Lonchura striata: one gene and its partners. The protein of the gene in region 1 binds, or shares a complex with, the protein of each later gene. Links are inferred from orthologs where the notes say so. Each region holds a gene or a part of one and is shown on either strand. Other genes may lie near its edges.

Region 1 (3,742 bases):
GGAAACTGCACCCATGAAGAGGCTCAGAGCAGTTAATGCTCCCAGGCACGCCCCTTTTTGTCCACACCTGGCCTCCATGGCTGAGCCGGGATAGCGGTTTCCGAACTACAATAAATGTCGTGCACCAGTCGCTCCTCAGGTAGGGCCATTCATTTCAGACTTGAGCCTCTTTCGGCGGTTTTCAGGCCACCCCGAGAGCGCCAAGGAGGAGCAGCGTGACCGAGAGAAGTTATTCAACACATGGAAGCAGAAAGGAAATGTTTTGAATAGGGCCCTTCGCCACTCCCAGCATTATCTTCAATATGACCTACCTACTTCGCCAGCCGAAACACAGAAATGGCGGCTTTGTGGCCACCACCACCTGCAGCCAACTCGATCTCCCAGTCCTAACCCTTTACCCACATGAAGCTTATAATCTCTGATTTACTATACTCCTACACTTTTCCCTCCCCCATCATGCTGAACTCCGGAACACATTTAAGCCTCATCTCTAAGAACCACCAGTGATCAGTCCTTCAATAAATGAGCAAACAGAAGCAGAAGAGAAAAAGTTAAAAAAAAAACCAAAAAGCAAAAACCAAACCAAAAAAAAAAAATTTCGACTACAACACAGCAAGAATGTGACATCTACCGAAGGTCAAAAGAACTGCATTAACAGCACTGTTTACACAGTTATCCCAACTCTCGATGACCCTGGACCTTTAACACAACAGTTAGCTTGTTGTGGTACACCCGATTCATTTTGGCCCGTAGCACACAGGAATAACAGCAGGCACTTAATAGTGAGAAATGTTGAGCATTTACCATGAATCCTACAGCAGCACCCTTTAACCCAGATATTTAAAGCTCACTGAGGGCAGACTAAAAAAAAAAAAAAAAGCAAACCCACCCTGGGAGAGTCACTATGCCCCATTTCCAAGCACGCAATGCAAGTGAATTTCCTCCCTCTTCCAAGGAATTAGCTGCACCACTTGTAAAGCCCACCCAGGAGGGGTGAGTGGCTATGAAACGCAGCGCACGACAAACGCGTTCGCATCACGCTCCACACACCAGCAATGGCAACGAAACCGCCCCTTCCCTTTGCTCCTTCACACACACACACGTGAAGAAGGACGAGACGGATTAAGCAACATCTGACCGACACCTCGGAGCGTTCATTTTCGGCTGGAAATAACCACCCAGCGCCGCGGCCTTCCCCGGCTCCTGCCGCAGCGCCCCTGGGCGGGCAGCGCCCAGCTCTCGGGTAGCCGCTCCCGGCTCCGGCCGGCGGGGCACCGGCTCCCGGCGGGGAAAGGGCCCGGGGCTGGGTCGGGCGGGCCGGGGCCCTGCGGAGCGCGGTGGCCCCGCAGCCTCCCCCTCCCTCCTCCCCCTTCTCCCCTGAGCTCCAGCCCTGCGCGCTATACAGGGCTCCCCACGTGATCCAGGCGGACGTTTCAATACTGCTGCACAGAACATACACACAAAAAATATTTCTGGAAACTTCCACTCCTAATAATTTACAGATTATGTCGCCGGGTTTGCCCGTACCCGATCCCAGCCTGCCCGGGCCCCTCCTAACGAGGAGCATCCCCCGCAGCATCCGTGGCTGCGCTCGGCCAGGCCGGGGATGCTCGTACCCCAAACCCCATCCGAGCGCACCCCCGCCCCTCAGGGCTTCTCCACGGGGTCCATCACATCTCTCCTAGCATAGGCCAGGCACTGGGGCCCCCTGCACGGGCACATCCCCCCGTTCTGCCCCTCAAAATACCCCCCTTTGCCCCCTCCGCGTTGCCCATCGCGACACCCCCACAACCCTCGCTTACCTAGGGGTTTCTCACAGCCTCTTCCTTCAGAAAGTAGGGGCGAGCGAGCCAAGTTTCTAACCACCACACACCACAAGAAAAAAAAAAAAAATAAAAAAAGACCACCAAAAATAATCCCTTCCCAAAATGAAGAAGAAAAAATAAAAAGACCACGGAAGGAGGGAAAAAAAAAAAAAAACAGCGCGGAAGGAGGGAAAAAACCACCACGGCAAGAGGTGGGGGGGAAGGCGAGCGCTCCCTCCTCGGTGGTGGGTCGGGGTTAGTGGCGCCACTCCTCCCCTCGCAGCGTGCCCGGCCTGGCTGCACCAGGCGCCCGCAGCTGCCCCCGGGGCTCCGCGCTCGGCTCCGCGCCTTCCCCACAGCCCCGGGAAAGCGGCCGGCGCGGCGCTCCGACCTCGCTGTTGTGGGGGGATCTCTACCCGGCTGCGCCTCCCGCGCCGCCCAGGCCCGGCCCCGCCGGCTCTCGCTGCCCCTGCGGCTGCCGCCCTCCCCGCCCGGCGCTCAGTTCGCCCCCATTCCCGCCACCCCCCCCCCGCGGCTCGCACTAAACTTCGCCCCCTCAGCTACAGGTCCCCTACGAGCAGGTCACACACGCGGCGGCGGCGACGGGGACTGAGCGCGGCGCGTCTCCCCCTCCTAATGCCACAGGCACGGAACCGGCTCAAACCGGTTCAGACTGGGAGATTCCATCTCGGTTTAGTTTTCAGCCCATGGCGCCGCGGAGCGTTTGGAAACCTCGGGGGCCCCGCCCAGCCGCCGCTCCCATTGGCTCCGGGATGTGCCGCCGCGAAGGCGGCCGCCACGGTGATTGGTCAGACGGGCTGTCAATCCGCTGCGCGGCTCGGATGGGCGGGGGGGCGAGGGGCGGCGGAGGGGGCGAGGGGCGGGGGGGCGGCGGGGAGGGGAGTAGAGGGGACCCGCCCCCTCTCCAGCAGCGCTTTGAGCGCTAAGGGGGGGAATGCCGCTCCCCGATAGGCCGAGCCGCGCTGTCACTCAGGGGCGCCCTGCCTCCGTGCTCGCAAAGCGCGGGCGCAGGCCTGGCCGCGCTCTCATTGGCCGGCGGCGGTGGCGGCATGACGCGCGCGCCTGAGCGCGGCTTTCGGGGCTGCGGCGGGAGGGGGCGGGAGCGGCGCGGCCGTTGGGCGCCCCCGGGCGCGTGCATGAGGCGCAATGGCGGGAGCGGAAGGGGGTCGAGCACCATCCCGTTCGCGCTGAGGCGCCGCTTCCGAGGGAGATGGGGCACCCTCCGTGTGGGGGCTGTGTGGAATGGCGGGCATTACCCTACAGGTCCCTCCCTCTCTCTGGGAGGGAGTGGAGTGCAGCAGAATATCTCAGCTGTAGAGTGGGCCCTGTGAGCAGCAGGGGCACCAGCCCTCGGTGGGTGCTTGCTGTCCCCTACCCCAGCAGTCCTATGCTCTCCACCAGAGCCTGTGCAGAGTGCGAGGGCGGTGTGTGTCCCCTCCTTTACGGTGCCTCTGTCCATGGCATGTCCAGCTTCCTGCAGCTGCCCTCCAAATTGTGCTTCAGGCAAGGCTGGCTTTAGACTTAGCGAAATATCGAGCTGTGTGAGGTGTAGTAGGAAACCAAACGTGAACAGGGGTGATTCGGAGATTTTCTGTGGCGGCACAAGCTTGGCATGCTGTGGTTGCTCATCTCATTGCTGCCTGAAGGAGTAGAGGACGTGCTTGCCAACTTCCACATGGAAAAGCTCCTACCAGTGAATGTACTCTGTGCCTACAGATGCATTTTTCAGTTTTAACCCTCATTTGAAAAACCCTTAGCTATAGAAGCTTATTACTCACTTCTGTGAGGAGGCTACTATTAGGAAGTATTTAATTTCCCTTCTCGAAACAAACTTTATTTTCTATCTCTTCAAGCAGTTACTTTGTTTTTGGGATGGCATTACACTGGTCTGTGAAGCTTGTTATAGGAGTGATACT
Region 2 (3,742 bases), about 11 Mb from region 1:
TTTCAGTTTCTGCACTTACTTCCCCAACAATTCATGAGCTGCATCCCAATTCCTACATGCCTCCAGCACAAACTAAACCAAAGGGAAGGAGACTCTTACCATGCATCTGTACTTGCTGACATTCTGCTGCAGGGCAGTTAGTAGGAAGCTGAAGATCTTTTCCATGTTCTGGGTGAGGGTTTGCTGGATATCTCGTCGCCGCTGGGTAGGTAGAGTTTGAAAAGTCACTACATCCTCTGCCAAACGTAGAAGGATGAACATCACCAGTTCTGTCTGAGTTTCCTGATGTCCCAAAGTGAAATACACTCCATCAGCACAGTCCAAACATTAAAATCTCTAGAGACCAGCTCAAAGATGTGGAGAGAAAGCAAGCATGCATGAAGTATGTCTCATGTTGAGAAAATAAAACAGCAGGATGGCCCCCTCTCTGCTAGTCATCTCAAGATAGCATAATCTTACAGGGATTTTTGAGTCCATCACCAACCTGTCTCACTTGACCATGAGTGAGTTAGATTTTTCTCAGGATGATGGAAGACTGAACCCCACACTAAGAGCAAGCAAAAGAGACCAGACAACTGTGTTTCATACCCCTTGTTTGGAGAGGGTATCCAGCTCCTTTAGCATGTCAGGCCAGTGCTGAGGCCATTCCCGCTTGATCATCTCTACCACAATGCGAGACAGCACATCTTTAATGTGACTTTCCTCCTCCAGGATACTTTGAGTTCCCTGTGACAGAAAGGGGACTGTTACACAGAACAGCAAGCTTCAGGCATTTATAACTCTGACCTGGGAAACAGTGTTTGCAAACATTCTAAACCACAGAAACTAAAACCAAAACAAAACACAACATTGGGCAGTGCTTCATTGCAGCTACCTTAGATGACGCTCCTATGCTCCCAAACATTATAGCTCCATAGACAGACTCTCCTCAAAAGGTCACTTGGTCACAAGAGCAATCACAACAGGAAAAAAAAACAACTAATACAATGGGTTTAGTATTTTTGCAAAAGATAAGAACATCCACAGTTAATGAATTTCCTCCTAAGAAAAGTAAAAGTATGTTACATACGCTATATAAGCCTCACAACTTCCTGCCATGTGAGGTAACATGGCTATTCACCTGACAAGACAGAGAAAAGCACTGAAACAACCAGAGATGCAAAGCAAAAAAGCAATGAAATGAAAAACTGAATTCAGATCCTCTGTGTAAATTAACTGCAGTAGTTTTTACTTTTACTCTCACATTTCACAACAGCCTGGGGCAGCAGGTACTTACACTGGATATGAGGCCCATAACATTGTTCTTTAGATAAACTTTTTCTAAGCGAGGCATATTGTTCCAACGGTATCTGTTAAGAACATATAAACAAAAAAGAAATAAAGTAAAAACATCTGGATTTCTGACTTGATTCTCAAGGAACCATTTGCTTCTTTACCGAAACTGGAGACACTACCAGCTCCCTGCCTCTGCCAGCACCCAATTCCTTAATAAAAGGGCTGAGTTACAACTGCTGCTGGCAAATGGGCATGCCCCACCGAGGTCAACAGACACGAGAAGCAGCAGCAAAAGCACAAAGCACCAGGTCTGTAGAGGCAGCAGAGAAAGGAATCTCAGAACTGAACTAATACAAAGCCTCTTTGTTAGCAGGAGGCCAGTGACAAAACTCTGCAAAGACCTACTGGTAGCCCAGTGTGCTTGTTTTCATCTTTTGATGTTAATGTGTGTTACAGCTCAGTAAATTCACCATCCCAATGTGCCTGAAAGCAATTCTATCCTCTCTTTTACAGAATAAGAAAAAAATCCGGAGTAGGACTGCAACTGTCCTCTGCTGCAGAACAAACTCCCTGCGTACTGAAAATGCCTCCCTGGGGTGGGAGGTGCCGGAATGGGCACATATCTCACCAGAGCTGGCAGGCTGGGACCCTTCCCCAGCTCGGCGGCACCGGGCGAGCTGACTTACTTGACCACATGCTCCAGGATCTGCAGGCCGAAGTGCCGGACGATGGCCGTCTGCGTCTTCTCCGCCAGCTTCAGCCCGCAGGGCACGCAGATGGGGCACTTCTCCTTGAACTCCTCGCAGAACTAGGGGAGGGAGGCCCAGGACACGAACACGCAGTTACACACCGGGGCAGGAGGTGGCAGCCCCATCCCTGGCGCAGCACGCCGGGCACACGCGGCCGCCCGGCCCCCGCCGCCTGCTGACGGCTCCCGCACTTCAGGCCACGACCGGGACCGGCCCGCCCGGCTCTCGCCCGCCCCGGGGCCGTGCGGACGGGGTGCCCGCTTGCCGGAGCCTGGCGCCCTTCCCGGCCGGGCCGTACCTTGAGGGCCTCCAGGCGGTACCGCTGCGTGGACGCCGGGTCCATGATGACGGTGACCGCCTTCACCAGCTGCTCGCAGAGGCCGCTCACCTGCTCGGCGGACATGGCGGCGGCGGCGGGCGCGCGCCACCGGCCACCCACGGGAGGGACGAGCGGGGCGGCCGGGACGTAGCTCCGCGCATGCGCCCTGGGGGACACGGGGACACGGCGAACGCGGGCGCCGCGCACCGTCGCGGCGGGGACACACGCACGCCCCGCCGCGCCCTGGAGAACTACGACTCCCGGCGGTCCCTACGCAGAAAATACGGATGCCGCAAAGCGACGGGCCGAGGCGGGGCTCTCCGCCCCACCGAGCGGGCGGTTATTCAATCATTCACTCAGTCGGGCGGGAGCTGGTGGCGGCAGCGGGATGTCTCGGGGCCGGGAGCGGGTGGTGGCCCTGGTAGACATGGACTGCTTCTTCATGCAGGTGGAGCAGCGTCTCGACCCGCAGCTGCGCGGCCGCCCTTGCGCCGTGGTGCAGTACACCGAGTGGCAGGGCGGCGGGTACGTAGGCGAGCCGGCTTGGCGACTTCGGCTCCTCGTCCCACCCCGATCCCCGCGGGGCCGGGCCCGCCCTGCACTTCACCTCTGTGTCTCGGCAGGATCATCGCGGTGAGCTACGAGGCGCGCGCCTTCGGCGTATCCCGCGGGATGTGGGCGTCGGAGGCGCGGGCGCTGTGCCCTGAGCTGGCGCTGGCCCGGGTGCCGCAGGCACGGGGCAAGGCGGACCTCACACGGTGAGAGCGGAGGCCGGGGGTGGCGGCGGCGGCGCGGGCCTCCCCGGTGGCGCGGGGCGGCGGCTGAGGCGTGCCCGCCGCCCGGCAGGTACCGGGAGGCCAGCGCGGAGGTGATGCGGGTGCTGTCGCGCTTCGCCGCCATCGAGCGCGCGAGCATCGACGAGGCGTACCTGGACCTGACGGGCAGCGCGCGCCTCCGGCTGCGTGAGCTGCGCGGGCGCCCCCTGCCGGCCGCGCTGCTGCCCAGCACCTTCGTGCAGGGACTGCCCGGGGAGCCCGGCCCCGATCCCGCCGGGAAGGGCGTGCACCGAGCGGATCCCGCCGGGAAGGGTATGCACCCACCCCCGCCCCCCGGGAAAGGCCCACTCCGCCTGCTCTGACTCCCCTGGATCGAGAGCGTCGTAAATGGGATCTGCGTTTTCCGCAGTGAATGGCTTTTAAGATGCCTGTGGTGCTTTTAAGGTGTCCTCGCTGTGGCTGGAATGCGCTTACAGAAGCCTGCGGCTGCTGGCTGGACTAGCTGCTGCGGGTCCCTTTGCTGGGCTCAGCAAGAAGTGCCATATCGTGTCCTCTTGAGATCCCTTTTGTGTCCCTTTTCTAGAGGAGCTGCGGCAACGTAGTTTGGACGAGTGGCTGGCGTC
Region 3 (3,742 bases), on another chromosome or scaffold:
ATTCCCAGAAGTGCCCTTGTCAGCACAGTTCCAGAACCATCGAGTTGCTGAAAACACTGTGTGCTGCATACAAAACTCTCTCAGCTTCCTGGGTGCTCTCTCCTTTCAGATGTTCCACACAAATTCATCACACGTTAAACAGGATGATCTTACACTTAAAATAAATTAATGAGCATCTAGCCTTGAGGCACAAATTTGAAGCTAGCCATGTCTGGTAGCATCTGCATAGCATTATTTAATGAATATTAATCACTGGCTGAAGGAACTGCCCTCCATCCATTGAGCACAATAACTAGAGTACATTTCTTATCCCACTGTCTCTGCTGAGATAAAAGGCTACACACAACTAATGCTTAGAAACCCCACACTTAGACTTTAGATGTCAGAAGGGATGAAGTTCCATTCCTGCAACAGAAAACTGGTTCCCTTCCATTCCTGTCTGATTAGAAGTGACCCCACACTCTTGTAGCTGCTTGAGGTCAATAGTGCTGGTTTTAAAATATCCTCTATAGGAAAACTGTATATTTTCCTCTGCACACTTTCCTCCTGATACCCCAGCTTCCCCAGAGTATGACTTCTTTTCAGGGGTCTTTAATTTTAATATCACTTTTGGAAACAGGGGGTGAAAATCTCCAAGGCTGAGCAACATAATTTTTCTAGGATGACTATCCTCTCAAGTAGTTGCTGCCAGTAGAAAGAAACTGATGCCTACTGTGGCTACCTGAACAGAGGCTAGACAGAGTTAAAGCAATAAAGTAGGTGTTTATTAAAAGGCCTTCAAAAGATAAACCTTGGGCAGTACAGCAGACCAGCCATGACTCCACCCAAGATGGACACCTGATCATGAGGTTTCATATTTTATAAGTTTTGGTCTATTTCCATGTTGGGGTTAATTGTCCAATTACAGCTTCAGGTTATGAAGTCCCATCCTCCCAGATGGCTTTCCTCAATTTGCTGTTGTTCACACTTTTTGGGCATGAAGCTGCAACAGTGTCCTTGGTTCTCAGGCTGGAAAAGGATTGTTTTGTCTACCTGCCCTGTGAAGAGAACTTGCTAACACTTTATATGAAGTTCAGAGTTACACACTAAGGCAGTACAGAACCTGAAAAACATGAAAGCTAAAACTTCAGGCATCAAACCCACATAGCTTATTCCAGTCCTACTAGACACCCAGATACCAAACTCATGGACACGCCCAGCCTCTGCCAATCCAACACTGAGAAGAAAGAGGACATCCTCCAAACCATGAAGGCTTTACCAGATAGGAACATAAGTTACTATCTGCAGAAGTCAGCCTGTCCACCTAGTTTAAGAGTAAAGTTAACAACTTTACTCTTAAAAATAATTTCTAATCTATTATGATCATCTTTCTTACAGATGTTCACATCCTCCTGGCTTCTCTTTCCCTTGAATCACCTTTGTTGTTCTTCACCTTACACATAGACTACCTTCTAATCTCAACATACACATCCTGAAGCATGTTTTATAGCACATGTCACCCACACCCACCTGTCAACCTACCAGAGGTCTCGTTACTGTTAATTCTTACGCTGAAAAAGCTTTTGGGAAGGAAGGAAAGAAGGAAAGAAGGAAAGAAGGAAAGAAGGAAAGAAGGAAAGAAGGAAAGAAGGAAAGAAGGAAAGAAGGAAAGAAGGAAAGAAGGAAAGAAGGAAAGAAGGAAAGAAGGAAAGAAGGAAAGAAGGAAAGAAGGAAAGAAGGAAAGAAGGAAAGAAGGAAAGAAGGAAGAGGTAGTCCGTTTGGCAAACACAACCAAGATCTGGAAACGCCTAAAGACAGGTTTCCTTTTCACTTAAGGGATGTATGAAACTTTACGTTCCCCTATGATCGAAAAAGTTAGTTCAGACGCATACTTTAGTTACAACACTTCATCTACCCCAACAACCAACGCACCAGCTACGTGCTGCTCGCCCAGCCACGGGGCACCGGGCAGCGCGGGGCGACAGCCCGAGTGCCCGCCCGGCCGGCCGCTGACAGCCCCCAGCGCCGCTCTTGCCCCGCGGGAGCCGCCGAGCGCAGGCCGCACGGCCCCGCCCCACGCGGCCGGAACGCCCCTTGCCGCCCCGCGCGGGCAGCGGAGCGCGTGGGGGACCCGCCGCCGGACACGCGCGACGCGAGCGGGGGGCCCCGCCTGCGCGTGGGAGCGCCCCCCGCAGGCGGGGCCGAGGGGCGCGTCAGCCCGCGGGATCGCCCCCCCGCACGCACGGCCCCCTCCGCCGGCCGCTAACGGAGACGGCGGCTGCCGCCTCTGCCCTCACCTCCTCGGGGATTCCGCCACCGGGGAAGGCGCGGGAGCCTCACGCCGCTGCCGCCGCGCCGGGGCCGCTGGGTGAGGGGCGGGCGGGGGAGGCGGAGGATTTGAACGCCGGCAGTTCTGCTCCCCGCTCCGGGATTGGCTGCTGCGTCGCGACGTCACGGGGCGCGCTCCGCTGCCGCACTGCAGCCGGTGTCGCCAGGCTGCGGGGCGCGCGCGGCAGCGGCCGCGGGGCGCGCCGGGGGTTGTAGTCCCGTTCCTGCTCTGCGCTGCGCGGGGCTCTGTCCGCGCCGCGCTCACAACCCCCACTGGCGGAAGTGTCGCTGGAGAAGCGCCCGCAAGCCCGCAGGTGGGACACGAGGACTTTCTGATGTGAAGCCTCGCCTAGATAATGTCCCTGGGGTCTCCTGTTCGTACTCACGTGTTACTGTCAGACCGTTCTGCTAAGGAAGGCATTTCACAGAATCACGGAATCTGTTAGCTTGGAAAAGATCTCTGAGATCGTCGAGTGCAACCTATGATCAAACAACACCTGATCAACTAGACCATGGCACTAACTGCCACATCCAGTCTTAAACACTTCCAGGGACGGTGACAATACCACTTCTCCCCGGGCAGTTCATCCCAATACTCAAACACCCTTTCTGTGATAAAATTCCTCCTAATGGCCAACGTGAACCTCCACTGGTACAGCATATGGCTATGTCCTCTCATCTGTCGCTTTCACCCTGGAGTGCAAAGTCATTCCTGCTTCAGGATGGAAAAAAAGCCTTGGTTGGTGTTATAAATGAGAATTTATTCAGCCAGATTAAAAATAAAAATAATTTTATTAGCGGTCAAATTCTATCTAGCCAGCCACACGGAAAGAACAGAGCCGAGCCCGGGGTCGGCCCTGGGTGTGCAACAAGGAGTCAGCCTCAGCAGAGGTTTTCCCCTATGCCCACACACCTCCATCCTGGCCCGAGTGGTTTTTATAGGGAAAATTCCACCTGAGGCCAAGATTTGAGCAGTTAGTCTTTTCTTCTATTCAGAGTCTATAGGTTAATAAGATTTTCTTTTTTTGGTGATGAGGAGAAATAATTCAATGTCCAGAGTAGTTGAATTCGGAGTAGTTGAATTCTTGATGAGAGTTTACGGGAAGGCTGCATTCACATGGATCTGTCTAAGGATTTCCATGATATCCATCTCAGACGATCAGCACCGATGGTGATGATCAACACCTGGAGCCCAGATATGGCCCATCTCCTGGCCGAGCCACATCCTTTTACTTGTAAATCAGTTTCTAATATACATCCAGTCTCGCCTGTAAAGGGGGAGGGGGGGGGGAAACTAATACGACGGGCATGATTTAACAAATATCCAATATTACATATTTCATACAAGGAATGGCGCGAATTATATTTATTACACATAACATTCTGAAGAGCTAATAAAAATAAACATTGTCTTATCCATGGATAATAGCAATTT

Evidence for each region.
Region 2: XPO1 (region 1) and XPO5 share a complex: the UniProt entries of both Homo sapiens proteins name them as parts of the nuclear export receptor complex. The link is inferred for Lonchura striata from reciprocal best matches to the Homo sapiens genes XPO1 and XPO5.
Region 3: the proteins of XPO1 (region 1) and RANGAP1 are in contact, whole or in part, in a cryo-EM structure (PDB 9B62), measured with the Homo sapiens proteins. The link is inferred for Lonchura striata from reciprocal best matches to the Homo sapiens genes XPO1 and RANGAP1. Residues at the interface, in NP_003391.1 of Homo sapiens: Lys245, Ser248, Thr249, Tyr252, Lys253, Glu281, Gln282, Val284, Thr285, Leu289, Met292, Gln293, Gln296, Arg340, Asn342, Leu343, Lys514, Val518, Ile521, Lys522, Leu525, Glu529, Arg532, Lys534, Lys537, Ala538, Ala541, Met545, Phe554, His558; in NP_001265580.1 of Homo sapiens: Ala2, Asp5, Ile6, Leu9, Ala10, Thr12, Leu13, Ala14, Thr16, Gln17, Val18, Ala19, Gln22, Leu23, Ser24, Phe25, Lys28, Glu44, Arg55, Ala561, Thr564, Lys565, Pro566, Ser568, Glu571, Ser572, Ser574, Phe575, Arg577, His578.

The regions. Positions count from the first base shown.
Region 1 is NC_134605.1:25,062,797-25,066,538, reverse strand, and holds the start of XPO1 (exportin-1), read right to left. Parts: upstream 2,520-3,742; 5' UTR 2,396-2,519; exon of another isoform or gene 2,381-2,395; intron 2,185-2,380; exon of another isoform or gene 1,859-2,184; 5' UTR 1,803-1,858; intron 1,261-1,802; exon of another isoform or gene 1,145-1,260; intron 1-1,144. UniProt on the Homo sapiens protein: Mediates the nuclear export of cellular proteins (cargos) bearing a leucine-rich nuclear export signal (NES) and of RNAs.
Region 2 is NC_134605.1:36,045,421-36,049,162, forward strand, and holds the start of XPO5 (exportin-5), read right to left. Parts: upstream 2,526-3,742; 5' UTR 2,428-2,525; coding exon 2,323-2,427; intron 2,084-2,322; coding exon 1,962-2,083; intron 1,350-1,961; coding exon 1,277-1,349; intron 727-1,276; coding exon 589-726; intron 283-588; coding exon 100-282; intron 1-99. Other genes in the region: POLH (DNA polymerase eta), read left to right, coding at 2,732-2,868, 2,967-3,101, 3,190-3,431, 3,703-3,742. UniProt on the Homo sapiens protein: Mediates the nuclear export of proteins bearing a double-stranded RNA binding domain (dsRBD) and double-stranded RNAs (cargos). XPO5 in the nucleus binds cooperatively to the RNA and to the GTPase Ran in its active GTP-bound form.
Region 3 is NC_134607.1:58,518,485-58,522,226, reverse strand, and holds the start of RANGAP1 (ran GTPase-activating protein 1), read right to left. Parts: upstream 2,363-3,742; 5' UTR 2,277-2,362; intron 1-2,276. UniProt on the Homo sapiens protein: GTPase activator for RAN. Converts cytoplasmic GTP-bound RAN to GDP-bound RAN, which is essential for RAN-mediated nuclear import and export. Mediates dissociation of cargo from nuclear export complexes containing XPO1, RAN and RANBP2 after nuclear export.